Cricetulus griseus: one gene and its partners. The protein of the gene in region 3 interacts with the protein of the main gene of each other region in a biochemical or structural test. Links are inferred from orthologs where the notes say so. Each region holds a gene or a part of one and is shown on either strand. Other genes may lie near its edges.

Region 1 (9,821 bases), on a different chromosome or scaffold from region 3:
CATATACATACAAACAAATAAGTACATGTAAAAAACCAAAACTGGGCAGTGGTGGCACATGCCTTTAATCCCAGCACTTGGGAGGCAGAGACAGGTAAATCTGTGAGTTCAGCCTGGTCTACAAAGCCAGTTCCAGGACAGGCTCCAAAGCTACAGAGAAACCCTGTCTCAAAAAACAAAGAACAATCAAAAACCCCTACCTTCAAACAAAGAACAAAAATATAGTTCAGAAGTCTGAAGCAACCAGTCCTAGGAAAATTCAGCTACACAGATTTAGTGTAGAATTTGCTTAAAACCCAGAATTTTAGTATTGTATTTATCTTGTTAGAGAATCCACATTCTTTCCAGGAAGCTGCAGAGCCTTGGACTTTTTAGGTTTACTCACTTGCAGAGAAAGTTACATGACTATCCATCAAATGGCTTGGCTAACAACACATCTTTCAACACCTGTTCTACAATCCACCCCTCATACTTAGATTATTATTATTTTGAGACAGAGTCTATGTAGAACATGCTATCTTCAAGCTTACAGAGATCTGTTTGCTAAGGGCTAGGATTAAAGGCATGCATCACAATACCCAGAATTTAAAAATAAATAAATCTTTAAGTAGGGTAGGTGCACACCATGGTTGAGGAGATGGCTCAGCAAATAAATCACCTGCCATTCAAGCCTAAGGACCAGAGTTCAAATACCCAGAACATCTGTAAATGTGGTGAGGGCTACTTATAATTCACAGGTGACAAGAGATTCCCAGAGAAAGCTGGTTAACTGACCTAGCCACATGGGGGAGTTCTAGGTTCAACTGAGATCTTGCATCAATACCCATGCACACACTCCATACATATGTGAAAACATTTTAATTAAAAAATAAAAGGTGGAGGTGGGGATGCTGCAGAGATGGCTCCTCAGAGGTTAAGAGTACTCCCTGTAGCCAGGCGGTGGTGGCACACGCCTTTAGTCCCAGCACTCAAGGACGCAGAGGCAGGTGGATCTCTGTGAGTTCTAGACCACCCTGGTCTACAAGAGCTAGTTCCAGGACAGCCTCCAAAGCCACAAGGAAACCCTGTCTTGAAAAAATAAATAAATAAAAAAACCAACCAAACAAACAAAAAAAAGAGTACTCCCTGCTCTTCCAGAGGTCTTGAGTTCAATTCCCAGCAACCACATGGTGACACACAACCATCTATAATGAAATCTGGTGCTCCCTTCTGGCCTGCAGGCATATATGCAGGCAGAACACTGTATATATAATGAAGAAAAATTAAAAATAAAAGGCCAACCTTCAGTAAATATTATTGCTGACAAACTTGCCTTAGTTTTCAAAGCACATAACCGAAACTATCCCCTCAATACTAAAAGAAGTAAAAATGGCAAGCACTAATTTTATGGATCTATCATCAGGAAGGGGGAATTCTGAAAAGTTAACTTTGGTTGCACCTGAGGTATCCAGAATCTGAGTTTTACAATTCATAGAGTGGCATCAATCATCTAATTTATAGTTTACCTGGCACCACGTGGCCTCTGAGACCCTCCAGTTCTTGCCCTCAAAATAGATCCCGCTCTTCTCCTCGTTCTCACTGGCCCCACACTATGGTCTGAAGGTGGAGGTCTCAGCAATTCCAGCATGTTATGAAGTCTCTGCAGCCCGCTGATGAAGTTGTTCATTGAAACTTCTGTAGCAGCTCGGACAGTTTGGTTAGCACCAGATTCCTCTCTACGCTCCTCAGAAGTCCCTGGATTGGCAGTCTCCATATTTTCTTCTGAGGGCTGTATTTCCTCTGTTAAGTCAATGGATGCTGGTGGCAGAGGCTGCAGTCCGCTTTGGCTGCTGACCACTTCAGCAGGCCCAAGTTGACCAAGTGCTCCTCCCTGGCTATTGGCCACTTCAGCAAGGGCAGGCTGGAGGAGAGGTGCCCCTTGGCTGCTAACTTCAGTTGGAGGAGCCTGTTCTATAGTACCATCTATTGGTACTTGAAGATCACAATCCATTGCTTCATGAGCCATCACTAGGGACAGAGTATTTGTGAAACATGTTAGTAAAATAGGTAAAGCAACAACAACAAACAAAAGAACATGTTATATAGTTGATATAACTAGTCTTTCAGAATTTCTGTTTAAGATTCTTTCTAGCAAAACAGAGGATTTAAAACAAACATAATACTGCATGACAGGTAATATTAATCTTTCATAGCATCAAAAGTAACAAAGGAAGCTGGGCATTGGTGGCTCAAGCCTTTATTCCCAGCACTCGGGAGGCAGAGGCTGGCCTTGAACTCGGAGATCCCGAGTTCAAGGCCAGCCTGGTCTACAGAGTGAGTTCCAGAACAGCCTTCAAAACTACAGAGAAACCCTGTCTCCAAAAAGCAAGGGGGAAAAAATAGTAACAAAGGATATACAGAAATGCCATTTTTTTGGTACATGTGGTGCTGAAGGACTGAATACAGGGCTTTGTACACACTAAGTATATTGCTCTACAACCTAGCTCCACCCACCTACTCTCAGGCAAGCCACAGAAGACATTTTTACATTTGCAAGATAAAATTTAAATTTCTTTGAGAAAAACTGTAAGTGAGACTGGGGACTACTACTAATGCTTAGTAGTAACCTAGTATACACAGGTATTTCCATTAATCCAGGCACACATACAATTACATCAAAGCCAAACTTGCTGGGCTTGGTGACATTATCTGTAATCTTAGCACCAGCAGGGAGAAGGCAGAGGCAGGAGAATGGGGAATTGGGCTACAATTTGAACTACAAAGCAGGTTTCAAAAACGCGAACTACTTGGCAAAACTTTATTTTAGTAAATAAATTTAATTAATTAAAAATAAAGTCTAGCCGGGCAGTGGTGGCACATGTCTTTAGTCCCAGCAGTTGGGAGGCAGAGGCAGGTGGATCTCTGTGAGTTCGAGGCCAGCCTGGTCTACAGAGCAAGTGCCAGGATAGGCTCCAAAGCTACACAGAGAAACCCTGTCTCGAAAACCAAAAACCAAAAAAAAAAAAAAAAAAAAAAAAAAAAAAAAAAAAAAAAAAAAAAAAAGTCAGGATTGAATCAATAAAGGCAGAATGTAAGGACCACACAATTGTCCACTCGTGTTTACTTCCTACAGCCAGCCATTTGAAGTTTACAATTAAGTTAGTTCCTCGATCGCACTGGTAGAAAGCAATAAACACCTTTCCCCAAATCCTGTACACGAACCCAGGATTTTGTCTAAAGCAAACCCACGGGCCCCACTGCTTCTTTACCTTCAGCACGTTACAAAAACGCTAGACTGATGACCACGAAACGTCAGCGGCACTCAAAACGTGAACTTAGGCCGGGCGTTGGCAGCGCTGACCTTCAATCCCAGCACTTGGGAGGCAGAGGCAGGAGGTTGACCTTCAATCCCAGCACTTGGGAGGCAGAGGCAGGAGGATCTTTGAGTTGGAGGCCAGCCAGGTCTCCAGAGCGAGTGCCAGGATAGGCTCCAAAGCTACACAAAGAAACCCTGTCTCAAAAAAACAAAACCAACCGAACAACAAAACAAAACAAAACAAAACCAAAACCGTGAACTTCATATCTGCCATCTTACAAGGAAGCTTGGCAACCACAAGGCAGGGGTGGGGGGCCCCAATAAACAGGACGTCGGGAGGCCGTGGGGATTCAGTTTGACCTGGGTTCAGATAAAGGTTCCCCCTTTTAGTACCTGAAAACCTAAAGTAAGTTTCCTGTCTGTGCAAGCCTGCTCACCCGCAGAAAAGAGATAAAGGAAACACTTACGTCACAGCTACACTGGAGGGGTGGAGGTAAATTTTCAGTTCTGCTAAACAGCCAGTAACAAGGGCCAATGAGTACGGGGGGGGGGGGGACGACACCTGGAGAACTACTCCGTCTGGAGCCGGCAACCAGAGCATGCCGAACCGCGCCTCAGCTCCCTCCGGAGATTCACGTCGTTTCCGCCTTTCTCGCCCCAGACCCCCATATTCCTCGGGAATGCAGGAAGCAGGTTCGAGGAGCTCCGGACGAAGGAGACCGCTGAGTTCCCAACCCGCCCTCAGCCAACCTGACTAGGCCCCGCGACCAGGCACGGGCCGAGAGAAGACAATCCGCATCCAGGGACACGAGGCCCGAGGAGAAGCAGGTACTCGCCTCACCTCAAACTGCAGGGGCCACGTCCGCGCCCCGACCGACCGCGACTTGTGCTGTCGTTACCGCGAAAACTCGGGTCGCCTCCGCGCCAAACAACTCTGCAGTACTCGCGGCTCAGCGAGCTCCCATTTGTCAGCCACCAATGGCGACGACCAATCCCCTCTCTTCTTCTTCCATTGGTCGCCGCTGGCTGAAATAGTGGCGCTCTCATTGGCCGGCTCTTGATACTTACTTGGCCAGAACTTCATGCAAGGAAGTCTCATACAATTGGTAGAAACTCATGTCCGTCATCTCGTGCCCAGCCCCTAAAGGGGTAGAGCCTAAGAGTTTTCTTGCTTTTCTTTTTTTTCTCTTTCTTTCTTTCTTTCTTTCTTTCTTTCTTTCTTTCTTTCTTTCTTTCTTTCTTTCTTTCTTTCTTTCTTTCTTTCTTTCTTTCTTTCTTTCTTTCTTTCTCTCTCTCCTCTCTCTCTCTCTCTCTCTCTCTCTCTCTCTCTCTCTCTCTCTCTCTCTCTCTCTCTCTCTCTTTTTAAAAACCGTTCTGCATTTGAACAGTCTAGCAGGAAGAAGACTGAGGAAGAAAATTCTCCAATTTCTTCACTTTAAAACCACTCCAAACCGGGCGGTGGTAGCGCATGCCTTTAGTCCCAGCACTCGGGAGGCAGAGGCAGGTGGATCTCTGAGTTCCAGGCCACCCTGGTCTACAAGAGCTAGTTCCAGGACAGGCTCCAAAGCCACAGAGAAACCCTGTCTCGATAAACCAAAAAAAGAAAAAGAAAAAAATTATTCCAATAAATTACCTAGGAAGTCTAAATTGCTGCACAAGATTTTTTCAATCATGTCTCTGAAAGAAGAAATCTTCCTTAGATTTTTTGTTTGTTTTGTTTTAAGAGCAGCCAGTGCTAGGCCCTGACCTCTGCTGAGAGCCCTCATCCAGTGGCTGATGGAAGCAGAGGCAGACACCCACAGCAAAACACTGAACTACTGAACTGAACTCTGGAACCCAGTTGCAGAGAGGGAGGAATGAAGAACAAAGAGGTCTGGACCAGGCTGGTAAAACCTACAGAAACAGCTGACCTGAACAAGGGGGAGCACATGGACCCCAGACTGATGTCTGGGAGGCCAGCACGGGGCTGATCCAGACCCCTAAACATGGATGTCAATGAGGAGGCCCCGGTACTCTATGGGGCCCCTGGTAGTGGATCAGTATTTGTCCCTGGCATAAGAAAGGACTTTGGAAGCCGGGCATGGTGGCGCACACCTTTAATCCCAGCACTCGGGAGGCAGAGGCAGGCGAATCTCTGTGAGTTCGAGGCCAGCCTGGTCTCCAGAGCGAGTGCCAAGATAGGCTCCAAAGCTACACAAGAAACCCTGTCTCAAAAAACCAAAAAAAAAAAAAGGGGGGGGATTTGGGAGCCCATCCCACATGGAGGGATGCTCTCTCAGCCTGGACACATGGGGGAGGGCCTAGGCCCTGCTCAGGATGATATGACCGACGTTGGAGAACCCCCATAGAGGGCCTTACCCTCCCTGGGGAGCAGAGAGGGAATGAGGTGGGGTCTAGTGGGGGGTTGGGAGGAGGGGAGGGAGAGGAAGAAGGGATTGACATGTGAAGCAGCCTTGTTTCTAACTAATAAAAAATCATCTCTTGGGGAAAAAAAAATAAGAGCAGCCAGTGCTCTTTTTTTAAAAATATTTATTTATTTATTTACTTATTAAGTATACAGGGTTCTGCCTGCATGTATTCCTGCAGGCCAGAAGAGGGCACAAGATCTCATTACAGATGGTTGTGAGCCACCATGTGGTTGCTGGGAACTGAACTCAGGACCTCTTGGAAGACCACCAGCTGGTGCTCTTAACCACTGAGCCATCTCTCCACCCCCACTTGTAGGTTTTTAAAAGCAAAACTTCAGACACAGAGTGTACATTGCCACAGTTTTATTCAGCTACCAATTTTTAGAAGAATTGGTAGTAGAGAGCAATAGAAATAATTTTTCAAATTTTTCTTCTCTACACTTGTTACCAAGGCCAGCATCAATTTTATGTATTTATTTGTATTTTATGTGAATTGGTATTTTGCTTGCATGTATGTCTGTGTGAAGGTGTCAGATCCCCTGGAACTGAAGTTACAGACAGTTGTGAACTACCATATGATTGCTGGGAATTGAAGCCAGGTCCTCTGGAAGAGCAGCCAATGCTCTTAACTGCCGAGTCATCTCTCTAGCTCTCCAGCACTAAATTACTTTTCACCTGGGCATTGGCTGGGCAGTGGTGGCACATGCCTTTAATCCAGAGGCTGGAGGATATCTGTATTTTTGAGGCCAGCCTGGTCTACAGAGTGAGTTCCAGAACAGGCTCCAAAGCTACAGTGAAACTCTTGTCTCGAAAAACATCAATACTGAGTAATTTCCAGCAAATTTTTTAATTAAGAAATTAGTAAGTATACCACAGTGGTATAGTATTTATCTAGCATCTTTGAGGCCCTGGGTTCAAGATGCAGTACTTGAATAATAATAAAAATGAAATAATAATAATACATTAGTACTACATGGTTAAAGAAATTTAGACAATGTAAAGGGCTTCTCAGTGAAAAGTAAACATTCTAAGTGTTCTGATAGGATATCCAGTCATGATTTACACTTAACGCTTTAATACTTCCAGTACCCTTTAAGCTAACAAGCTGGAGTAGACTCCTGGAACAAAAGATGAGCTGCAGAAGAACAAAGTGTTCCAGCCTTGCCAGTGTCCAGCATGTGGGAGAAGCTCAGTGGCAAGCATCTCAAAGGGTGGCTTAGCTGCTTGTACTCCCAGCACTCAGGAGGCTGTTAGGGGAGGACCTTGAGATTCAGGCTAGTCTGAGTTATAAAGTAAGACTCTGTCTTAAAACTAAAATAAAAAATAAGAAGCAATGGCATAGAATTCTTTCATATATAGCATTGTTAACAAGAAAACAATGCATCTATGGAGAAATGATGCAACAAAGGAAAGGAATTTGGGACTCTCAAAGGCAGGAGATGATGGAAGAGAAATATATGGGAAGATACTACTAGTTCAGGGAGGTTTTGCTTACAAATTGCCATGGACAGATAATAATAATCTTGGTAAGGAATTTAAATCCTAGCTGGTTGTGTTAGCTCACACCTAACATCCCAGGATTCAAGGTACTGAAACTTCAAGGATCACTATAAGTTTGAGCATGCATGGGCTACGTAGGGAGTTTCAGGACAGTCTGGACTACAGAGTAAGAACCTGTCCTAAAAAGCAAAAGGGACGGGAGAGATTATTTAGTGGTTGTGGTAGTCTGAATGTAATTGGTCCCCATGAGGTCATAGGAACTGGCACTATTGGGAGGTGTGAATTTGTTGGAATAGGGATGGATTTGTTTGAGGAGGGCTTTGAGGTCTCATATATGCTTACGTCACGCTCAGTGTCTCAAACCACTTCTTGTTGTCTGCTGATCAAGATGTAGGACTCTCAGCTCTAGCGTCATGTCTGTCTGCACGCTTCCTTATCCTACCATGATGATAATGGCCTAAACCTCTGAAACTGTAAGCCACCCCATTAAATGTTTTCCTTTATAAGAGTTGTAAGGATCATGGTATTTCTTTTTCTTATTTTAAAAAATTATTTTTCATTTTACATACCAACCCCAGTTCCCTCTCCCTCTCTTCCTGCCCTTCCATCTCCCCTACTTCCCCTCGCCCCCATGTCAATGAATCCAAAGGTCACCTACTCTTACCCAATCCTGAACAGCCAAGGCACGTACCACCCTGCTTTCGAGATTTTCCTTTATAAACCCCTTGCAATTGAGGCCAGGCACCCCTTTTCCTGCAGCTGCTGTGCCAGTTTGCTGGACAGGGTTCCTGCTGAGGCTTGTAATTTAACATTAAACCTTGTGCGTTTGCATTAGTGAGTTGGCTCCTTGGTGTACTTTTTGGTGTGTGTGTGGGGTCTCATGAACTTGGCATAGGTTTTCTTTCTAATCTCTTTTGTAATAATTTATTTATTTTATGTGCATTGGTGTTTTGCCCACCTTTATATATACATGAGGTGTCAGATTCTCTGGAACAGGAGTTACAGACGGTTATGAACTGCCATGTGGGTGCTGGAAGAGCAGCCAGTGCTCCTAACTGTTGAGCAATCTCTCCAGCCCCAGTGGAATTGTTTTCTATTTGTTGTTTTTTTTTTAACTCAGACACTTTTTTTTAAAGATTTTATTTATTTATTATGTATACAACATTCTGCTTCCATGTATATCTGCACACCAGAAGAGGGCACCAGATCTCATAACGGATGGTTGTGAGCCACCATGTGGTTGCTGGGAATTGAACTCAGGTCCTCTGGAAGAGCAGCCAGTGCTCTTAACCTCTGAGGCGTCTCTCCAGCCCCTGTTTTCTATTTGTAACAAATGAGAACTTTGCCAGGTGTGGTGGCCCATGCCCATATTCCCAGCATTCAAGAGGCAAAACTGGAAGATTTCTTTGAGTTCGTGCCTAGTCTATTCTATATATCAAGTTCCAAGCTAGCTGGGACTAATGGTGAGACCCCATTTAAAAAAAAAAGAATTTAGAACCTAGCAAAATTTGATACTAACATATATAAAAGACGAATGTCCAGTTTGTTCCTCTTCCAGCTTTTTTGTTTGTTTGTTTGGTTGTTGTTGTTTTTTGTTTTTTGTTTTTCGTGGCAGGGTTTCTCTGTGGCTTTGGAGGCTGTTCTGGAACTAGCTCTTGAGACCAGGCTGTTCTTAAACTCACAGAGATCCGCCTGCCTCTGCCTCCTGAGTACTGGGATTAAAGACCTGCACCATGCCCGGCTTCTTCCAGCTTCTTGTCCAGGGAGTCTTCAGATGAGGTTTGAATACACAATTCAGTTTTACTTGCAGACAGTCTCTCTAAGATTGCTATGAATGAATGAACAGAAAGTGAGACAAGAGCAGGTTACTGACAGCCAGGCTAGAAACACAAATACCTATCTACAGCGGACAATACATACAAACAGAAACTGTGTTTGCTGGGTCTGGCTGGTACCATCTACACACATGCCTCTAAAATGTCATTTATGAAAACCCAAATCCCAAATGAGACATGGCAGTGCATGCCTATAATCCTGGCACACTTGTAACCCCAACTCTGAGGGGGTCAGAGCCAAAAGGATTAATGGAGCTTTATGGCTTCCAGGCTGGCTGAGAAAATGAAGCCCCCAGGTTCAGGAACAGATCCTGCCTCAAAAAGAAAAAGCGGGTGACCTGGACCAGCAGGTCATTCTTCAGTGACAGGGTCCTGAGAGAGAGGACAGGGAGATCAGATGACAAGAAAAATAGAAGATAGAGAAGATATGAAAGTTTGGGGATGGGAGGTCTTGCCTAAGCTATGTCTTATGCTAAGTAAGCTTATTAAGTAGTACAGCATCTTACATGTTATTTCCAGGGGAGACATAGGACAAAGTCAGCATAAACAGGGATATCTCAAGACTATAATAGACTAAGTACACAGCAGTTTGGGACTGATAACCATAGCCCTGTACAGCAGGAAGAGTTGGGTTCTTAGAATCTGAAACCTCAGCTCTCCCCAGGCCCAGGTCATAGGCCATTACCCACTCTATCAAGCATATTCCTGGTTTCACAGAAGGAACTGTTTTCCTTCTCCATACATCAGGCCCTCAGGGAAAGCCTTGGACCAGCTCAGCCCTCA
Region 2 (9,721 bases), on a different chromosome or scaffold from region 3:
GTTCAAGACGGGGTTTCTCTGTATAACCCTGGCTGTCCTAGAACTCAGAGATCTTTGCTGAGATTAAAGATGTGCACCACCACGCCCAGCTGGATTGATGAGCTTTAATATCAGGCTTAAGGATGGAGAAATTAGGCCAAGCCTTACCACTATAGGTGTCACTGGCAGCCGTCACAAAGCAGGGAAGCAGTCTGTAGTTACTGAGGGCCACCTTGTGTTCACACCTTGAAATAGCTCACTTAGTTCTCAGCCCTACAGGGTGGATACCACAGACTCATAGACAAACTGACACAGACTTACTGTAAAAAGATAAGAGCTGGGGGTCAAACCTAGCCTTGATGCCAGTGGCTACTAACCATGACTCCCAGAGACCTGTGGAGGTCACTAGCTGCCCATTGCTGCCTCAGCTTTGTCTCTGAAACTAGGCTTCAAATGCCAACTCACGGGATGCTTAGGTCAAGATGCTTCTCTGAACACCATCACCTGCAGAACAGTACTAGCACCACCTGCTGGCCGGGGCATGCGATGCAGGGGCTCTGCCAAGGTGCCAGGTTGAGCTGGGAGCCAGAGATTAATTACACTGCACCCAAGTGGCCTCTTTGGTTGATGCTCCAAGTTCAAGCACAATATAGACCCCCTGTCAGTTTCACAGTAAAAGGACATGGCTTTGAATGTTTACAGACTCAAATGCTTCTAGAGTACACTAAGCACCAATCCATTTCATAGCAAACACATTCTCTTTGTTCACCAGGCCTAGTAAGGCTCCTAGACCCTATACTAGGACTGGTGTGGCTGGTGACTACAGGAAGGTGGAGCCATTTAGAAGCCATCAAGCCCCAACTGAGAGTTGCTTGCTTTATCTCCCATCAGAGCAGCTGCAACTATGAGCAAGAGACCCCCGAGACTGGGCCTATTGACTGTCAATATTCTCTCATACAAGTAGGTGGAGAGAGTCGCTGAACCCTCACTTGTTCCTGCAACTCCTGGCCATCTGTATGTACTATATAAACTGGTATGCTATAAAGAGGGGTGGCTATTTGTTTACATTTCTGGTATTTGCTAGGACTCCCCTATCTGCGCACATACCACATACTTCACACCATTTCTGGCTTTTTTTTTTTTTTTTTTGGTGAATTATCAAGTTTATTGAGATGTGTAGGAATCTGAGCAAGGAGCACAGATGATACAAAGGCAGCTTCACCACTGAAAAGTCCAGCCCAGCATGGGCCATGACTCACCAAAGATGCTCCCTGTGGTCCTGTATCATTTGCAGAACAATTGCTGCTTACCTTGGGGGGGCCTCAGTGATCATTTGACTTCCAAGTGCATCCTGACCTTGTAAGCTGTCTTCCCTCCTGGGCCTTGTGTTTCCCTTACTGCCCAAGTCTCAGAAACCTATTTTCTCTTTTTAGAAAGGACATTTCTGGCTTTTTTACATTAGGCACTAGGGATCGAATTTAGGGTCTCATGCTTGCTTAGAAAGCACTTACCAACTGAACTATGTCCCCAGCCACTGTAAGTTTACTGGATACACTTTCAGGGAGCAGCAGGCTGCACAGTAACTACAACAGATGGTTTCTCTATCCTGGCAGATCGGGTAACTCTGAATTTCCTGGATCCCAGGACTTGCTGGCAGCACATATCCAGAGGCTTTGTGCTGTGCTTACAGTACAGACTATCTTGACTTGTCCACAGCCTCTAGGTGACGCCTCACTTCTCAGCTCTTCCTTCCCAACAGTCTCTCATCTGTACACACAAGCTCCCTTTCCTCACCCCAACCCTGCACACACACCTCACCTCACAGCAGGCTCCCAACACCAGCATCCTGGGGATGGTCCCAAGGCCCTCCTGGGCACACCTAATGGTAACTTGCCCTTCCACTCCACATCTCCTTTATCTTAACCTCAGAACCTACAACTTTTCTCCTCCTCTTTAGCCCCCTGTCCCCAGGTGACTTCCAAATGTAGCACAGTCACAGGACCCTACATTAATCCCCCCTCCCCACCAGGGTTTCCATCTAACTTTTTATTTACTGTGCATTAACTGTCTCCCCTGGGAGCAGCTCTACTTCAGCGGATTAGCTGCCAGTCAAGAAAATCTCTTTGGCCAGCTGGGAACAAGTTTGTATCACCCACAACTGAAGTTCCCCTGACAATCCATTCACAGCAACCACCAACAGGCTAAGGCTAATCTAATTCCTCACCACATTTCATTCAGGCTTGTGAGAGAGTAAGCACAACATGATTGATGGAGGCACTGGAAACAAGGTCCTGCCCGAGCAGGGGAGACTTTTTTGACAAATGGCTTCTAGGCTTTATTTTTGCTGCAGGGGAGGCTTCCTGATAGCCAGTGTCTCACATTTTGGTCTCTCCCCTTGTTCTTCCCAACTCAGGGTCTCTCTGGCAGACGGACGCAAGGAGATGACAATATTTACTGAGTGGATTTTTTTTTTTTAATGAAACTAGATCACTGCTTACAAAAACCAGCACAAGCTCTCCTGCCCCTCCCCTTCACAGTTCCCTTGGCTCACCTCCCTGTCTCAGAAGAGCTGAAACAGAGCAGGCATGGAACAGCTGCCACTGCTGGGGGAGGTGCCGGACTACAACTCTGAGCATTTATAGGGTGACAGTTCCTCCATGTCCGTTCCCTGGGGCCTGAAGGCTGCATGGATAGCAGTGTTCCATGTACCCTAGCTCAGACCATCATCCAGACCAGAATGAAATGACGTGAATGCCCCTGCCCCACCAGACCTCCCTCTTCCTAAGGTCCCACCCGCCCCCCAACTCTAACCCACTACTGAGATGAGGCCCAGAATTGTGAGAAGGCATAGGGCCTACAGACTGTAGAATTTGAGGCTCCTGTCCATGCCAGTTGAAGCGATGAACTTGGCGTGGTGACCAAAGGCCACTCCAGTGGTCAGGCCACTATGCTCTGAGGAGAGAAAAAAGGGAACTATAAGAAAGAAGGCTGTTTCTTCTTCGGGGCTGAAGAATGACATTGAATGCCATGACCCTGGCACAAACCCAGATGGTAAGGGTCAGAAGGCACTGTAAGACACCCTCCCAAAGACAGGGTTCTGTTCACCACTTATTTTAACCAGGACTCAGCACCTGGCAAGAAGCGGAGGTACTCAATCTTTTGTTGGCGGGATAAATTAACAGAGGAATACCAATTCCCTTTCACCTGAGCTTTCTGGGCAAGCATACTTCAGCTGGAAAACTCAGTGTTCATTCAGTATGTATGTTTACCTTTAGCTCTTTGCTTGGACCTGGAATGGTCCATTAGCCAGTTCTAGCTCAAACATGTCAAAGTCCAGGGCACACAATACAGGACTGGATCCAGAATAGAAAAAGCTGAGCTATCTTCCTCACAGGACTCAGATGGAGAACCAGGGCAGGTTCTTTCCAGAGTTAAGAAAACACCCGGATCTCACCAACTCTCCAGAGAAAAGCCCTCTTGTGCTCCCAGCTGGCCTAAACTCAAGGTGATTCTCTAGTTTAGCTATCAAAAATTGAGATTACAGGTGTGAGCTATCACACCCAGCAAGATCCCCTAAAGTTGAGGCTATAGCAGCTACTCAAGGCCATAGGTGACTCTAAGGTGAGAAACCCTCTTGTGCACCACTGTCAGCCTGACTTCCCTTTATTACTTCTAGTTATCCTTGTGTTGTAGTTATACTTGTGTTGGGGCTTGAATACTTGCTACTGTGGGAAAGGCCCCAGACTCCATCTCCACACAAAGGAAAACTGCCTAACTTGACTTTAAACTTCATCACTCACACATGATAGACCCCAATAAAGTTGACAAAAGATAAAAAAAACATGGGCTGGAGAGATGGCTCAGAGGTTAAGAGCACTGACTGCTCTTCCAGAGGTCCTGAGTTCAATTCCCAGCAACCACATGGTGGCTCACAACCATCCATTATGAGATCTGGTGCCCTCTTCTGGTGTGTAGATATACATGGAAGCAGAATGTTGTATGCATAATAAATAAATAAAATCTTAAAAAAAAAAAAAGATAAAAAACATGCCAGGTGTGGTGGTGCACATCTACTGTCCCAGCACTTGGTAGACAAAGACAGGAAGACCTCTGTGAGTACAAGGTTAGCCTGGTCTACAAAGTAAGTTCCAGGACAGCCAGGGTTTGTTATACAGAGAAATCCTGTCTCAAAAAACCAAAACAAACAAACAAAAAAACCTTCATTACTTCCCAGACTGGTTCTTTTTCATTGCTCAAATCAAGAGCCAATACCAAATAATATACCACAAGACACTGCTAACCTATGAGTTGCATGCACTTTCATGTAAACCCCTATATTTCCTACTGAGTGTTTGAAATTATCATTTCAATTTTCCTAAGGCACCAGAGAGATTACAAATTACAGAATTTGCTCCTCAACACACAACTTGGGAGAGGCCAGGTAGTAACACAACTCACAGCCAAACAGACTCACAAATGCTTTTCCTAGGCTACAATGCTCTACTGCCCCCAGACATAAGTAAAAGCAGCCTGGGGGTTGGGCTCAGTAGTAGGAAACTTGGTCAGGTTCCACTCCCAGGACAGCAAAAGTAGGAATAGTTTGGGCCTATCTAGGCCAAGCCCAGAGCTTCACCACCAAGTGAAGCTTCCTAGAGCAGATGTACAAGGCCCCGGAAAGCCACAGCCAGCCTCTACCTGTAAAGTGAAGAATCTCTGTCCACTGTTTGCAGATATAGATCTGGACATCTGTACCCCCAAGAGCCAGGTAGGTACCACTCTGGTCAAAGATCAGTGACTTCACCTGCCAAACCCCAAAGAAAGGCAATTACACAAATGTCAAGCCACAGAACAACTGGGACAAAGAGAAGCAGTTCACATGAACTCAGAAACCATCAGGGAGTGAGGACAAACAACTAAGACTGGGGAGGAGCGCACCTCAAAGTTGTTATCCAGCTGCAATGTCTTAAAGTTCTTCAGCTTGCGTAAGTCCCAGAGCTTGACTGAAGAGTCATCGGCTGCTGTGGCCAGGTAGTACCCATTCTCAGAGAAGGCGATACTGGTAATGGGGCCAGAATGGCCAGGGAAATTGGCCACATTGGTACGCTCCTACAGGTGGTGGTTGGACAAAAAATTATCACTTACGGGTTAAGATAGGAAGGGGCTTACCAAACTTCATGTCCTGTGCACCCACAGTTCCTTGGTGACATTACCATGCCACACAAACAAAGCCAGGCTTTCCTAAGCCTTGAGAAATCCTGGGGCCTGCTGACACACCTCATCAGTTCCTTCTCTAAGAGGCCTGCATGTCCTACCTTCAAGTCCCAGATCTTGATCTGGGAGTCCATGGTTCCTGTTCCAAAGATGAGCCCATCAGGATGGAACTGTGCACAGGTAAGAGCTGAGGAAAGGGGACAGGGATCTGTAGTCAGTAGTCACCGTGGCCTCTACACTGGTGCAGTGGTAAACACTGTCTTTAGAACAAATAAGCAAATGACTAAGTAAAACTTAAAGACAAACTGCAAACAAAAGAGTTCAGTGCCTCTAAGGACACTTACAGCAGCCGGAAGTCTCATCTGTCACCTTGGTGAGCACGCGCCCTGTCTGGATGTCAGAGAAGGCCCAGTACTGGAGGTGAGACAAAGAAGCCAATGAGTAAGCAGGTCTGGTAGCTGAGACCCTGATTCAGCACCTACTGGCAAAGATAGCTCCCACAACAGGGAAAAAACCTTTCCAGAACTCTGGGAATCTGGCTGCCCCAGCAAGATGGCCCTTCCTCCCAGGGTGAGTAGGCAGCCTCCTCAGGGCCCTAGCTGGGACTGTACCTGATCATCAGAGGAACTCAGGAGATAGTCTCCAGTAGCATGGAGGCTGAGGCCTGTCACTGCACTCTCATGGGCTCGAACAACCTGTACACAGGAGGTGTTTGGGACCGACCAAATCCTGATAGTCGCATCTGGGGATGCAGAAAACACCAGTTCCTGAAAGGAAAGCAACCAAGAATCAGATCCTAGGAAGTGAAATGTACTATAACACCCTTTTCCACAGTGAAAAGGACAGCCATAACTACCAGCAACTGCTTCTCCTTCTAGTCCCTCTCTGCCTGTAACCACCTATCTAAACAACAGTGCCTAAGAAAGCCAAGAAAAATAAATGCTGCTGAAATGGCCACACTGAGCCAAGTTGAGACCCTCACTACTTAGTAGTAAACAGGGCAACTGCAGCTGAGAGCTATTTTTGCCCCCTTTTAAAGCTGGGTGGAACTGAGGGACTGGAATCATGTGCACCTGCAGCTAAAGACTACTGGACTAGATGGCACAGATCCGAGCAGACTGAGCCTGTAAAGGAATATAAGGTCATGTTCCCATGTTCCTCACACTTAGACCCAAGGGCATGTTGATTGTCCAAAAGACCTGGGGCAGACAGAGAGCTTATTTAGTTTCCCAAATAAATTATTTCCACTAGTTAGGACAGTAACAGCCAGAATATAACAGCAACTATCCTTTCATTAACACATACTCATAAAAGCCAAAAGTAATACTAACAACGAATAAACAGGAAAAAAAGTACTTCAATTTGAATTAGTTTTTCAGTTTGCTATAGCTGTGATGGTTTGAATGAGAATGGCTCATATATGTGGCTGCTTAATCACCAGGGAACGGCACTATTTGAAAGGATTAATAGTGTGGCTTTGTTGGAGAAGTATCTCATTGGGAATAGGTTGGTTTTGAGATTTCAAAAGCCCATGTCAAACAGTGTGTGTGTGTGTGTGTGTGTGTGTGTGTGTGTGTGTGTGTGTCTGTCTGTCTGTCTGTCTGTCTGTCTGTCTCAGCTACTGGCCCAGTGTCAGGCTTGCCACCATGCTCCCTGCCATGATGATAATGGACTAACCTCTGAAACTGTAAGAAGCAATCCCCCAATTAAATGCTTTCTTTTATTAAGAGTTGCTGTGATCATGGTGTCTCTTCATAGCAAAAGAGCACTAAGACACAAATAGTCCTCTATTTCTCAGTTCCTTAAGTCTAAGAGAAAGACTTAACTGGGAGGCACTGTTTCAGCACCCCATGCAGCTGCATACCAAGCCACAGTACTCAACTCTTATGAGACCATTAATCTCCTCTAATAGCTACCTTTATCCTCTTTTCTATTTGAACTCACACCACTTTCAACAGCCAACATTTAATTTTGAACCCAACCACACAGGGTGTCATGGGAACAGACACCTAGCAGTCAGGACTATATAGAGCTTTACTGTCTGTAGTTTATCTATAAACGCTCTAGGATGTTTGTTTTCTTTTCCTAATGCAAAATTGATGTGAATGTGCTTTGTTGGTTGCATTTTCCTTCTCCTTTGGTTTGAGGGCCACAGCTTTGGGGTTCTACACAGAGACCCATCAATGCCCAGTTCAGTTCATCAAAAAGGTAGAGATTGGGTGATTGGTTCTGAAACTCAAAACTACTGGAACAGGACTTAGGAAAGGACAAGGGTGGCTGTGAAAGTACCTTACCTGAGAAGGATGAAACACCACGCTGGTGACCTTCTTGGTATGGCCTTTAAGAGTGGCCAGGATTTGCTCAGTACTCTTATCAAAGACAACAACGTTTTTATCTGCCCCACCTATAAAATATCCAAAAAAAGACAAAAAAATGAATCAGGCCTATAAGGATCCCAGTGCTAAAGAAGGTCTTTCTGTCCTCAAATCCATGCAGAGAACCAGGGGCTTGCACCTTCCCTTGCTCCTGCCATCTCCCACCTTGACCTATCAGGCCAGGCTCAGACTCACCAGTGAGAATCTTGTTGGTGTCCGAAGGACAGAGGTCCAGAGCAAGGATCCCAGGAATGCTAGCACTGTGTAGCCCCTATGCAGACAGAACCACACAAAATCCAGTCACAGCCAAATCAAGGCAGACCAGAGAGCCACACAGCTCCTCCACTCCCTATACCCTTTGGTATTCCTCCTCAGGCAAGGAACAAGAGTGAATTTTATCCCTTATCCATCCAGCTTGGCTGGCTGCCTGGATGCAGCAACTCCCTCACTGCATGGCAAGAAACCATGTCAGAGGCCTGAGCAGCATTTGCCCCTGCTCCTCATGCTGGCCCATCTTGCCCTAGAAATAGAGTCACCTCCAGCTACTTACCACATGGGATGCCACCTGCCGGTACTTGCTGAGCTCTTCGGGTTTCACCAGCTCCTCAGGCACAGTCTTTCCTCTCTGAGAAAACAGAAAAGACCCCAAAGAGCAGCAATTGAATATAGGTTTCAACTAGCCCCTCCTCCAAAAAGCCAAATGCTCACACCAGGGGTCAACTCACCTTCTTACGCTCCGTGGTTAGAACAGTGGCCTTGTCTTGAAGCTGTGGAGAACAATTTTCTGAGAAATGATTTTGCAAGGACAAAGCACGCTGGGTGCTGGTACATCTGGTATCATAAGCATCACCAAAAACATGCTATTTGCCAGGTTATGTGCTAAAGCTGACACATTTCCACTCTGGTCTTATAAGGTGAGGTATCCATGACCTTATGGTACAACTGAAAAAACTGAACATCAAAAGACTCACCTCCCCCCACCCAAGGTTACTAAAGTGACAAATGGTAGAACTAGTAGGGACAGAGCTAGGCTGTTGTGTTCTGGGACCAGGTCTAAGGTACAAAAATTAGAACTCAGACACTGTTGGACCCCACAAATGCAGACTGTACATTCAACAGAACCCTGCGATGCAGTCTGGAAGCCTGCCTTGCCCCTTCTCAGCTATGACTTACAGTCACAGACTCCTCATCTTAAGATAACTTCTATCTTGTAAGCAAAACCTGTCACAAAGTGGTTTAATATCAGCAAAGACCACAAAAACAGCAAGAGCTATAAGCTGCCCTTATCAGTAATTAAGTCTTCCCTACAACAAGCCTGTGAAGTGCATACCTCACTCTATTTAGAAACAAGGGAGCCGGGCGGTGGTGACGCCTTTAATCCCAGCACTTGGGAGGCAGAGGCAGGCGATTTCTGTGAGTTTGAGACCAGCCTGGTCTACAAGAGCTAGTTCCAGGACAGTCTACAAAGCCACAGAGAAACCCTATCTCAAAAAAACAAAAACAAACAACAACAAAAAAAAGAAGCAAGGAAAATGAGACAGAGAAAGGCAGGCTAAAGTCAGCCTAGTCAGAAAACTCAAGAGTGGCAGGGCAGGCTTTCCACTGCTCAGGGTGAGATTCTTACTCTAGCCCCAAGACCCATGGCACTGAGTTAGGAGGACATGTGGCATTCCCAGCAAAAGAGCATATGACTCACCTTCTGGATAATCTCAGGGGTCATTCCCACCAGCTCACCCAAATCCATGGGCTCTCCTGCACCCTGGAGAAAAGAAAGGGAGAATGGGAGGAACTCACAATACCAAAGGCACCTGTGTAAGGACAGCTATTGGGGCTTGGAATGGAACACTTACCACAACACTGGGCTGTGAGCTTGGCACGGCCTGAGGTACAATAAGACCAGCCTGTGGTTTCAGAGTAGCCAGAGCTGAGAGAAAAGATGATGTTAGAAATGGGACATTACAAAGCAGAGCCAGCAAAGGGTAGGGAACAGCAGGGAAGAGGAGACACCTTCTCGAGCAGCAGTGACTTCCTTCGTGAGACGGGCAATGACTCGGCAGGCAGCATCGTGTTGGTACAGAGCATGGGACAGCTCCTGGCGGGTTGTCTGCAGTTGCTGGCGAAGGGTGAAGCTGTGCAGCATGACTGCATCCTGGGAG
Region 3 (9,774 bases):
AACTTCAGGACATGCGCTTGTTCTGTAGCTTATGCTAGCCTGGAGCTCCTGATCCCCCAGCTTCTCCTGCACTGGGATGAACTACTACATTCTAAACAAAACCAAATTCAAGACAACAACAACAAAAAAAAATGTAGACACTTCATAAGCTATACAAATGGACAATAAAGACACTGAAGGATATTCAATGTCATTCCTAATCAAGGAAATACAAAGATGACAGTGAGCCAGCATTACACTCACACATTCATCAGGATAGCAAAACACAGAGATTGATTGGCACTGAGCAGTGGCAACTAGAATTTTCATAAACACTGTGGAAAAGTTGGAGATTTCTATCAAATTAAGCATTCAGTTACCATATGACCTAGCAACTGCACTCTCAGATATTTATCTGTAAATATCTGGATTACTTTACATATACAAGAAACTTAATACATATTACATAATTTATGTATGTTATGAATAATTTATACGTGATATATTTAAATATTTATATGTAGAAAGATTTTCGCATAAATGTTCAAAGCATCTTCATTTACAATAGCCAAAAAATAAAAATAAAGTTGGGTTTAGTATAGTACAGGCCTGTAGTCCCAGCTATTTAGCAGGTTGAAACAGGAAATGACTGAGGCCAGGAGTTCAAAGCCAATCTGTGTAGCATAATGAGACCGTTTCTCCAAAAAAAAAAAAAAAGCAAAACTGAAAGCACAAATCCCCCATCCTTGTGTACTTTTTGGGGAGGGTATCATACGGACCAGGTTGGCACTGAACTTACTGTGTAGATAAGTACCAATCCTCTCAAGTTCTGAGATGACTGACCCAGACCAACCACCACATTAGAAATTTTGTGCAATGCTGGGGATTAAACCCGGGGCTTCACGAAAAGCATGCAAGCACTCTACCAACTTGGCTACATCTCTGGACCTTTTTTCTTCCTTTATCCTTTTTGAGACAGGATCTTACTATGCAGCCTAAGCTGGTTTTGAATTTTCAACCTCTGCCTTACTTCGTTTACAGAAATGTTCCACAGAACCCAGCTGGAAGACTGTTGTTTTTTAATCCTTATTCATAGTGTGCGTGTAGATCAGAGGACAACATGCATGAGTCAGTCCCCTCCTTCTACCGTGCAGGTGCTGGGGATCAAACTCTGAACATGAGGCTTGATACTTCACCACTGAGCCATGTTGCAGGCCCCCATGAACAACTTTTTCTTTGAAAAGTTATTTCTGCCCTGGGTGTGATAGCTCACACTTGTAATCCCAGCACTACAGAGGTAGGAGGACTACCACAGGTGGAAGCTAGTCTGGGCTCCACAGTGAGGCAGAGGCCATAGACTACATGGCAAGACCCTGTTTTAAAAACACTGTCAGCCAGGCAGTGGTGACACACACCTTTAATCCCAGCACTTGGGAGGCAGAGGCAGGTGGGTCTCTGAGTTCGAGGTCAGCCTGGTCTAAACAGTGAGTTCTAGGACAGCCAGGGCTGCACAGAGAAACCCTGTCTCCCCCAAAAAATAAACAAACAAATAAGCCACTGAGCAAGGTGAAGCAAAGGGCAATGGTTTCATTAAGCACCTTTCCATTCTGTTCAACCTTAAAACCACATCTGTCATTACTTTACTGTTCTTAATTTAAAACGCATCATAAACACTCAAAGGAAAAATATTCTCTGGGACACAGCATAACACAAACACTTAAAAGTATTTAAATTGGGGCTGAAAAGGCGGCTCAAGGGTAAGAGCACTGGTTGCTCTTCCCAGAGATTCTGAGTTCAACTCCTAGCACTCAATGGTGGCTCACAACTGTCTATAACAAAGCAATCTGATGCTCTTTGGTATGCAGAAGTATATGTAGACATAACATCCATATAATATATATATTAAAATTTCCAAAAAACTTACTAGTAAAAATAACGAAGCAACAAAATATAACAGTCAAAGGAATGGACAGTTTATACCTCTTTGCATTTTAACACCTTTGGCTGTAAAAAGTGACATTAATAATAAAAAATGAACTGATATTGGAAATCATAAAAATATTAATTTCCTTGCCTTTTTCTCTCTATAACTAAATTATGTAAAGATATACACAATGGGCTGTCCAGGAGTATAGTTTAGCAGTAGAGTGCTTGCCTAGTGTACACATCTGAGGTCCTGGGTTCGATCTCCACCCCTGGGGACAGTAAGTATATAGTCTTGTACTTATCCTACTTATCACATTAGTTCCAAGCATAACCTCATTTTATCATAACTTCTACCCCCAAATAACTCTATTTTCAGCCATTTGCTTAACCATTTGGGGCCTGAAGCTTTTGTGCTAAAATGACACTTGTTAGCTAATAATCAGGTAACCAGGGGTCTCCACAATCCATCACCGTCAACACATATTAAAACACTATGGAGCCTGGCATGATGGCACATCTTTAATCCCAGCACTCCCAGAAGAGGCAGTTATCACTGTAAATTCAAGGCCAGCCTGGATTGTCTTTAAAAACAAACAAAAACATTTTTTACTTACAAAACCTAAAATAAATAAATAAAAATCCCACGACTTAATGATCAAAGTCTAAGTAGTATTTCACCCAATGTCGGAAACAGTTTTCTAAAATGTTTCTATTTAAGAAAAACTTTATCAAATTATTTAAATAACCCTATGAACATTCTTTTTTTTTTAAGATTTATTTATTTATACAGCATTCTCTGAATGTATTCCTGCAGACCAGAGGAGGGCACCAGATCTCATTATAGATGGTTGTGAGCCTCCATCTGGTTTCTGGGAATTGAACTCAGGACCTCTGGAAGAGCAGCCAGTGCCCTTAACCTCTGAGACATCTCTCCAACCCACGAACATTCTTTTTTTTTTTCTTTGAATTACAAACAAGATTGAATTACATGACAATCCCAGTTCCCTTCTCCCTCCCTTCCTCCCCTACCACCCCCCCCAACTAAAACCCTACCGATTGAATATCCTTTCTTCTAATCTACACCTGACTCAACCTTTCTGCTCCCTCATGACCTCTGCATCTTTCCTCTTCTTCCCTTCTCATTCTCGTAGCTCCCTCCCCCTCTTCCCATGTTCTCAATTTGCTCAGAGGATTGTGACCCTTTCCCCTTCTCCAGGAGACAAAGTTTGTCTCTTTTAGGGTCCTCCTTGTTTACTGGTTTCTCTGACAGTGTGGATTGTAGGCTGGTAATCCCTTACTCTATGTCTAAAATCCACATATGGGTGAGTACATATCATGTTTGTCTTTTTCGATCATTCTTTATAAAAGTAAAAAGTCATTTGTAATTTGCCTTAAGGGTACAAGGTGGCAGCCATAATATTAATCAGGACAATTCAAAACTCAAATCCCAGCTTCAACATTAATACATCCCTAATGTAGCCAAAGAGCCCTTTCTGCTTTCTGACAACTATTTTTCCCGTTTATTTTCTTCTAAGCTGGTTCTTTTCTCCCTTCCACCTTTATCCCTTTCTTTCCATTGTTTCACTCATTCATACATCTAGTAAACATTTACTAGGCACTAAAACTTGAAAGAAGGGACACGGGACGTGGTTGTAGGCCTGTCTCTACAACCTAGTATAGGAACCACAAAGTAATTAATACAAGTCAAATAAACGTGCATTTACATCTGTGATGATGCGATGTTAGCAGGGGATAAACACTAAGTTCAGAAACACAATCCTCTAACTAGCCCTGTGCAATGGGTACTCAGTACCACCCTTATTTTACAGACAAGAGAAAGAGTTCAGAATGTTGCCCAAAGTCATATATACTATAATACGGGAACAAAAAGAAATTAAACGTCTCAAAATAAATGGATTCAGTCTAGTTACTTTGCCAACCAACTCAGTAACAACTGAGCTGAACTGGAATGTCTTTTAGCAAAAAAAAAAAAAAAAAAAAAAAATAGGAATAATGATCAGTAGCCTCTAGGGCAAGAATTTATTTATTTTTTTTTTTTTTAAAAAAGACAAGGCCTGTCAAGGGGTCAGTAAGCAGGGACTGTGGGGAAGAGAGTGTGTTGAATGAAACTGACTAGTTCAGACAACAAATGATTGTTCCAGTGCGATGTAAAATAGAGATCTGTGGGGAGTTAAAACAGACTTCAATTGGTGATGGAGTTAGGCATCCAGTCAGGCATAATGTAGGGAGATGGATTCCTTAGTTTCTAATGAGTATAAATTAAAAAATGGTGTAATTCACTGAGACAGAGACATCCACAAATTCAGACTGAGGGCCAGCAAGAAGGCCCTGTGGGTAAAGGTGCCTGCTGTGCAAGCCTTGATACCTGAGTTCAATCCCCAGAGAAGTGGGGATCTAACCAAAAACTTCAGGAAGTTGTCCCCTGGCTTCCCAGGCACATTCGCCATCCCCACCACATCAAACATATGCACTCGTGCATATACATACATTCACACGTAATTCTTTTTAAAATTCAGACTAAAGGACATAATGGATTTGCTGATATATGTTCAATTTGAGATGACTCTGAGGGTAGAGGGCAGAGAGAGTCGTTTAGATCGAAGGTAGCTCAGCAGAAAAAAATTAAGAATTGACATGCAGATGAAGACCTAGTCTACACAGGGCTTTGAGTCAACAAAAACTTACATACGGGCCTGCAAGGAAAGAGCTGCCGACGTTAAGTCACAGAACCCTAGCAAGAGAGTAGTGTTAGCAGAAAGAAGCAATGGCCAGCAAGCCCAAACAATAAGGTCAGCTGAAAACCGAAAAACGTCTTCCGACTTGGCTACTTGGGAAGCCACTGGCGACTTCTGACAACGTTTTCTCTCGTGACCAGTGAAAAGTCTAATCTGAGTCAAGAGTTGAGGAGGTAAAGAAAACAAACAACTCTAGAAAAGTTTGGAGGTGATGCGAAAGAAAGGAAAGAGAGGCCGCAGAAGGTAAATAGGAGCATGTTTGTCTAGTTTTCGTAGGCAGTAAAAGAAACGTGAGCTTGTATGCGGAACCGGGATGCCTCGCGGAAAGAGTATTGACCAGAGACCCCGGGAGGCTTCCCCCGAGGCCACGCAATATCCTCCCCGAGGCTCTCCCGTCTGCTCCCTCCCCTGTCTGCTCTGCACCGCTCCAGGCCCGTGCTGCCAGAGCCATCGGCCCGGTCCCGGGTTGTCTCCTTACCGCAATGGCCCCCTCGCTCAGGTGTCCCACCATGGCTGCCTCACTAACTCCCGCGCTGGAGCTCCAGCACTGCCCGAGCTTCACTGCCGGGGTACCGCGGGCTGCTCACCGATTGGTCAAAGCCTCTGTGCGTGCATCTCCCAGCCCCAACGTGCGCGCGGTACGAGGGGCGGGCCTAGGCGCCGGCAGCCACCCCATTGGCTACCGCGCGGCGGGCGGAGCACGTGACCCGTGAGGCCGGGTTCGAGGCCTAGTGGCGGGATGGCGGGATGGCGGGAACCGAGGGCGGGGCGCTGGACCACGGTACGACTGTGTCTGCGCGGTGCGGCTGAGCGGGTCTCTTGCCAGCTGTCGGAAGTTTGCCCGCCCGTTTGGCGGTTGGACAGAATGGCAGCCCAGGGGACAATCGGACCTGTGCGTTGGTAACTCTGCTGCTAAATATAGTCAAAGCAGTGACTTGAGTCCTTCATCACGCAGTGCGTGCCCCGTTCGCGTGCCAGGCCCAGAGCTTGACACTGTGGGATAAACAAGGTAAATCAGACTCAGTCCCCGCCCTCAGAAGAGCGTTGTCCGACCTGGGATTTGAGGCACCATGAGCCCCGCCTCAGGGGAGACGCGATAAAGGTCACATGTGTGGTGAAGTTCCGGGGTGGGGGAGGGGGGATCAGTGAAGCTTTGGAGAGGAGATGCGGTTTAAACTGAGTCAAATTGCATGGGAATTTGTCAGATGGATTCCTAGAGAGGGTAATGGTGTTCCTAAAAGCACGAATGGCCTACGCAAAAGTACTGGAGAGTCTGGAGTGTTGTCTGTAATTCCAGCCCCTGGGATGCGAAGGCAGCAAAAGTTCAAGGTCATCCCTAACAACACTGTAAATTCGTGGTCAGCCTAAACTACATGAGACCCTCAAAAATAAAAATTTGGGGATCTGGAGTGGTATACTGCTCAGGAGGTAGAAGCAGACAGATTTCTGTGAGTTTGAAGCCAGCCAGGGCTATATAGGAAGACCCGATCTCAAAAAGAAATAACAAAACAAAACAACAACAACAAAAAAAAACAGCAAAAGCCTGAGCTATGAGCTGAAAGAAAGATCTGGAGGTTGAAACAGAAAACTGAACCATCTTAGAAATTAAAATTTTGCTGGGCGTTGGTGGCGCATTCCTTTAATCCCAGGACTAAGGAGGCAGAGGCAGGCGGATCTCTGAGTTCGAGGCTGGCCTGGTCTCCAGAGCGAGTGCCAGGACAGGCTCCAAAAAAAAAAAAAAGAAAGAAAGAAAGAAATTGAAACTTTAACTTCATAGTTGCTGGGGTGAAGGCCTTGGACAACTAGGGTAAATAGGTCTAGAAAGACTGGAATATGAATCCAAAAATATGTTTATATAACCACTATCTACCATAGTTTCTCGAACAGTCTTCCAAAGAATATTTCTGCGTGACAGGATGTCCAGTGACTTGGTACCACCGATTCTATCTGCTTCGGCATATCAGAAACTATAGAGAAGACCTGAAGAGTTGATTTTGCTGCTTCTCACTTGCTTGGATGAAATCTCCATTTTTCTACAATTGTGCATTTATAGAAAGCTGAGTGCTTATTTTCTGACATTGCAGAGCTAAGACAGCATGGATTTGCCTGTGGATGAGTGGAAATCCTACCTTCTTAACAAGTGGGCTTTACTCCCGAAGTCTGTGCAGGACGAAATTTCTACAGCAGAGACTTTGAGTGGCATCTTTCTTCATTCCTCTTCCCTTCTTCAGTAAGTGAATGGAAACCTTAGGGAAATTTTGATCTGGAAAACGTTGTCTCTTGTCATTTGATCTGAAGTTATATCTTGTTCTGATTGGAAGAGTAGCTTTGTGTTTTTTGTATTATGGGGCACTGAGCAGTCCTTGTCTGTTTTCACATTTCTCCCTAGTCTGTGATTACAGAATGTGTAGGGATGACTAGTTTGCTATTTTGGTATGGGTTATATTTCAGGAATTTAGTGTCTTGCTGTAGTCCCAAGGCCATAAACCTTTCTGTCACTCAAAGACTATATGGTGCATATTGTGTAGCTGCCCAAAGAAATTCATTAAATGCGATAGTTGGGAAAGAACCCTAAAGGTCATATAGTCTAGCCCCAGTAATTTTCAAATTCTATGGGCTACATTCATTAGTAAAATAAACATTTTACATCACAACCTAATAAACATGTGCATATGTAGAAAACAGTGGAATTTCCCATTTCAGTTATTCAATTAATATTATTTTTAATTTTGAATATTCTGAAATTACATCATTTCCTCCCTCCAACCTTCCCATGTACCCCTTCCCACCTTGTTCTTGCTCTCTCTCAAATTCATGACCTCATCTTATTTTAAGTTATAGTGTATGTGTGTGTGTGTATTTCTAAATATATAACTACAATCTGCCTGTTTGTATGTGTATGACTTTAGGACTGACCACTTGGTACTGAATAGCCAACTAGAGGCTGGTTTCCTGGAGGAGACTGTTATTTCTCCCACTCTCAACATTCCTTAGTTGCTTGTAGTATATCTAACATTGGGCCCCTGTGAGAATTTTTCCCCCTTTCAGGTTAACCTTTATATTGGTGTCATCCTTATTCAGTCAGGTCTTGTTTAGGCAGCCATGCTGTTGAGTCTTCATAGGTGTAGCTCCCCTGGCATTTCTAGGAGATGCAATCTCATAGCAGACTTTCTGTGGCTCTAAGAGTCTCTTTCCACCCTCTTCTTCCTCCATGTTCCCTGAGCCTTAGCTGCAAGAGTTATGTTGTAAATGTATCAGTTGGGGCTGAGCACCACATGATCACTTGTTCAGTCAATATTATTGATTGCTCAGTGGCAATCAATAATATTAGCCCCTGCACTCTGGAGGCAGTAGACTGGTCTATTTAGAGAGTTCCAGGCCAGTATGGACTATATAGTGAGATCCTGTCTCAAAAAAAAAAAAAAAATAGTGATTGTTTCAGTAGCACATATAATAAAAATTGGGACAAAAACATCAAATGACAAAGATCACCAGGAAAGGAGATGAGTGTATTTGCACCCAGCAGATTCAAGCAATAGCACAAAAGCTCAGCTCGTCTGCATCACAGCAGAATGAGCTCAGAGAGTAGACAGAAAATAGTAACAGACACAGTGGGTACTGGGGAAACACAGGTGGCACATGCTATAGGAAGTAATGACCTCAGACAATCACAGAAACTGACGTCTGCCAGCAACCCAGTGAGCCTGGGAGTCTTTCCCAGGCCTTCCAAAGAGGATTCTCACATTGTAAGAACCTGAGCAGAGAGGCTCAGGTTTCTGACCCACAGGACTGTTCAGGTAATAAATGGCAGCTGTGTTGAGCTGCTCAGTTTGTGGAATTTGTTGAACAACAGTAGAAAACTAGTTGTCGGAGGCTTGAGGGAAGAGTAATGTGAGATGACTGTATTTTCAAGTAGAGATGAGCAAACTAAGACTGCCAGATAAGGTCCATCCAACTGTATGTTTTCTCTTAGGACCACAACTAAGAATGCTTTTACCAGATAAACATTTGCAGTTCATTTTAGGGTAAGGAGCATTGGCCTTGAACCCTAATTAAGCAAAAATAACATGGGTTATGTTTTTGTTTTTAATAAAAAAGGCCAGTGAAATGGCTTAGCAAGAAAATGCTTGCTTCTGTAGGAAACAAGCCTGACCATCTAATATGCAAGCTTGGTGACCTGAGTTCAATCCTTGAAACCTAAAGTTCAATCCTACCACATAAAGGTAGAAAGAGAGATCCAACTCCACACAGATGCTGTCGAATATGAATACACACACAACACTAACAATAGTAATAAATAGAAATTCCAAAAAGAAAATAATCCCATTGTTGTCATTAGTAGACTTATATTATAAAAATTATATTCTACTATTATATTTTAAATTTTGTCAAAAGAAGAAATCTGCTTGCTGAATGAATAACTATAATAGCTTAAAATTTTCTTCTTGGTTTACAAAGCCTAAATAATCTAGCCTTCTACATGAAAAGTTGGCTGAGCCCTGATTCTTCTTTTTAATGATTTTCTATTTAAATTTCTTTTACTTTTGTGTATGTGTGTGTGGCATATGCATGCACGTGCCACAGCTTACATGTGGAAGTCAGAGGACAACTTTGCCAGGTGGTTCTTTCCTTCTATCATGTGGGTTCTAGGGATTAAACTCAGGTCATCAGACTTGGCAGGAAGTGCCTTAGGTCTGAACAATCTCACTGACCCTGAGCCCTGTTTTAAAGCTTCACTGTCTGCCGTGTTAAGGACAGACAGCAGAAGGAGCCAGAGTAGAAGCAGAGACACTGGAAGGCCACTGCTATAACCCCAATGAGAAGATGAATGTAGGCCAAAGTGACCGTAGTTAGGGTAGGAAAAAGCATTTGGATTCTGAGGTAGATTTAATAGCAGTTCTTGAGATGAAATGTGTTGTGTAATAGAATGTGAGAAGTAACATGGCCCCAGGGAGAAGGTAGAGGATGATGTTGCCATATCTGGTAACCACATATGGGGAACAAAGATCCATACTTCATATTTGAGTTGCATGTGTCCAGTGGATACCTAATGGCAATGTTTAAACATGTTTGGAATTTAAGAAGAGGCCTGGGAAAGAGATACAAACCTGGG

What was found.
Region 1: the proteins of Rpa1 (region 3) and Rfwd3 form a complex in vitro, tested with the Homo sapiens proteins (3 studies listed by BioGRID, with this or other methods). The link is inferred for Cricetulus griseus from reciprocal best matches to the Homo sapiens genes RPA1 and RFWD3.
Region 2: the proteins of Rpa1 (region 3) and Prpf19 form a complex in vitro, tested with the Homo sapiens proteins (2 studies listed by BioGRID, with this or other methods). The link is inferred for Cricetulus griseus from reciprocal best matches to the Homo sapiens genes RPA1 and PRPF19.

What each region holds. Positions count from the first base shown.
Region 1 is NC_048596.1:187,709,238-187,719,058, forward strand, and holds the start of Rfwd3 (E3 ubiquitin-protein ligase RFWD3), read right to left. Parts: upstream 4,288-9,821; 5' UTR 4,137-4,287; exon of another isoform or gene 3,763-4,136; intron 3,393-3,762; exon of another isoform or gene 3,249-3,392; intron 2,008-3,248; 5' UTR 2,006-2,007; coding exon 1,506-2,005; intron 1-1,505. Other genes in the region: Mlkl (mixed lineage kinase domain-like protein), read right to left, coding at 8,922-9,031. UniProt on the Homo sapiens protein: E3 ubiquitin-protein ligase required for the repair of DNA interstrand cross-links (ICL) in response to DNA damage. Plays a key role in RPA-mediated DNA damage signaling and repair.
Region 2 is NC_048596.1:49,546,117-49,555,837, forward strand, and holds the end of Prpf19 (pre-mRNA-processing factor 19), read right to left. Parts: coding exon 9,573-9,721; intron 9,490-9,572; coding exon 9,416-9,489; intron 9,325-9,415; coding exon 9,262-9,324; intron 8,333-9,261; coding exon 8,291-8,332; intron 8,191-8,290; coding exon 8,116-8,190; intron 7,837-8,115; coding exon 7,761-7,836; intron 7,595-7,760; coding exon 7,485-7,594; intron 5,958-7,484; coding exon 5,802-5,957; intron 5,605-5,801; coding exon 5,535-5,604; intron 5,378-5,534; coding exon 5,292-5,377; intron 5,086-5,291; coding exon 4,915-5,085; intron 4,781-4,914; coding exon 4,675-4,780; intron 2,932-4,674; coding exon 2,834-2,931; 3' UTR 2,430-2,833; downstream 1-2,429. UniProt on the Homo sapiens protein: Ubiquitin-protein ligase which is a core component of several complexes mainly involved pre-mRNA splicing and DNA repair. Required for pre-mRNA splicing as component of the spliceosome.
Region 3 is NC_048600.1:88,800,171-88,809,944, forward strand, and holds the start of Rpa1 (replication protein A 70 kDa DNA-binding subunit), read right to left. Parts: upstream 5,295-9,774; 5' UTR 5,173-5,294; coding exon 5,140-5,172; intron 1-5,139. Other genes in the region: SET and MYND domain-containing protein 4, read left to right, coding at 6,758-6,891. UniProt on the Homo sapiens protein: As part of the heterotrimeric replication protein A complex (RPA/RP-A), binds and stabilizes single-stranded DNA intermediates that form during DNA replication or upon DNA stress.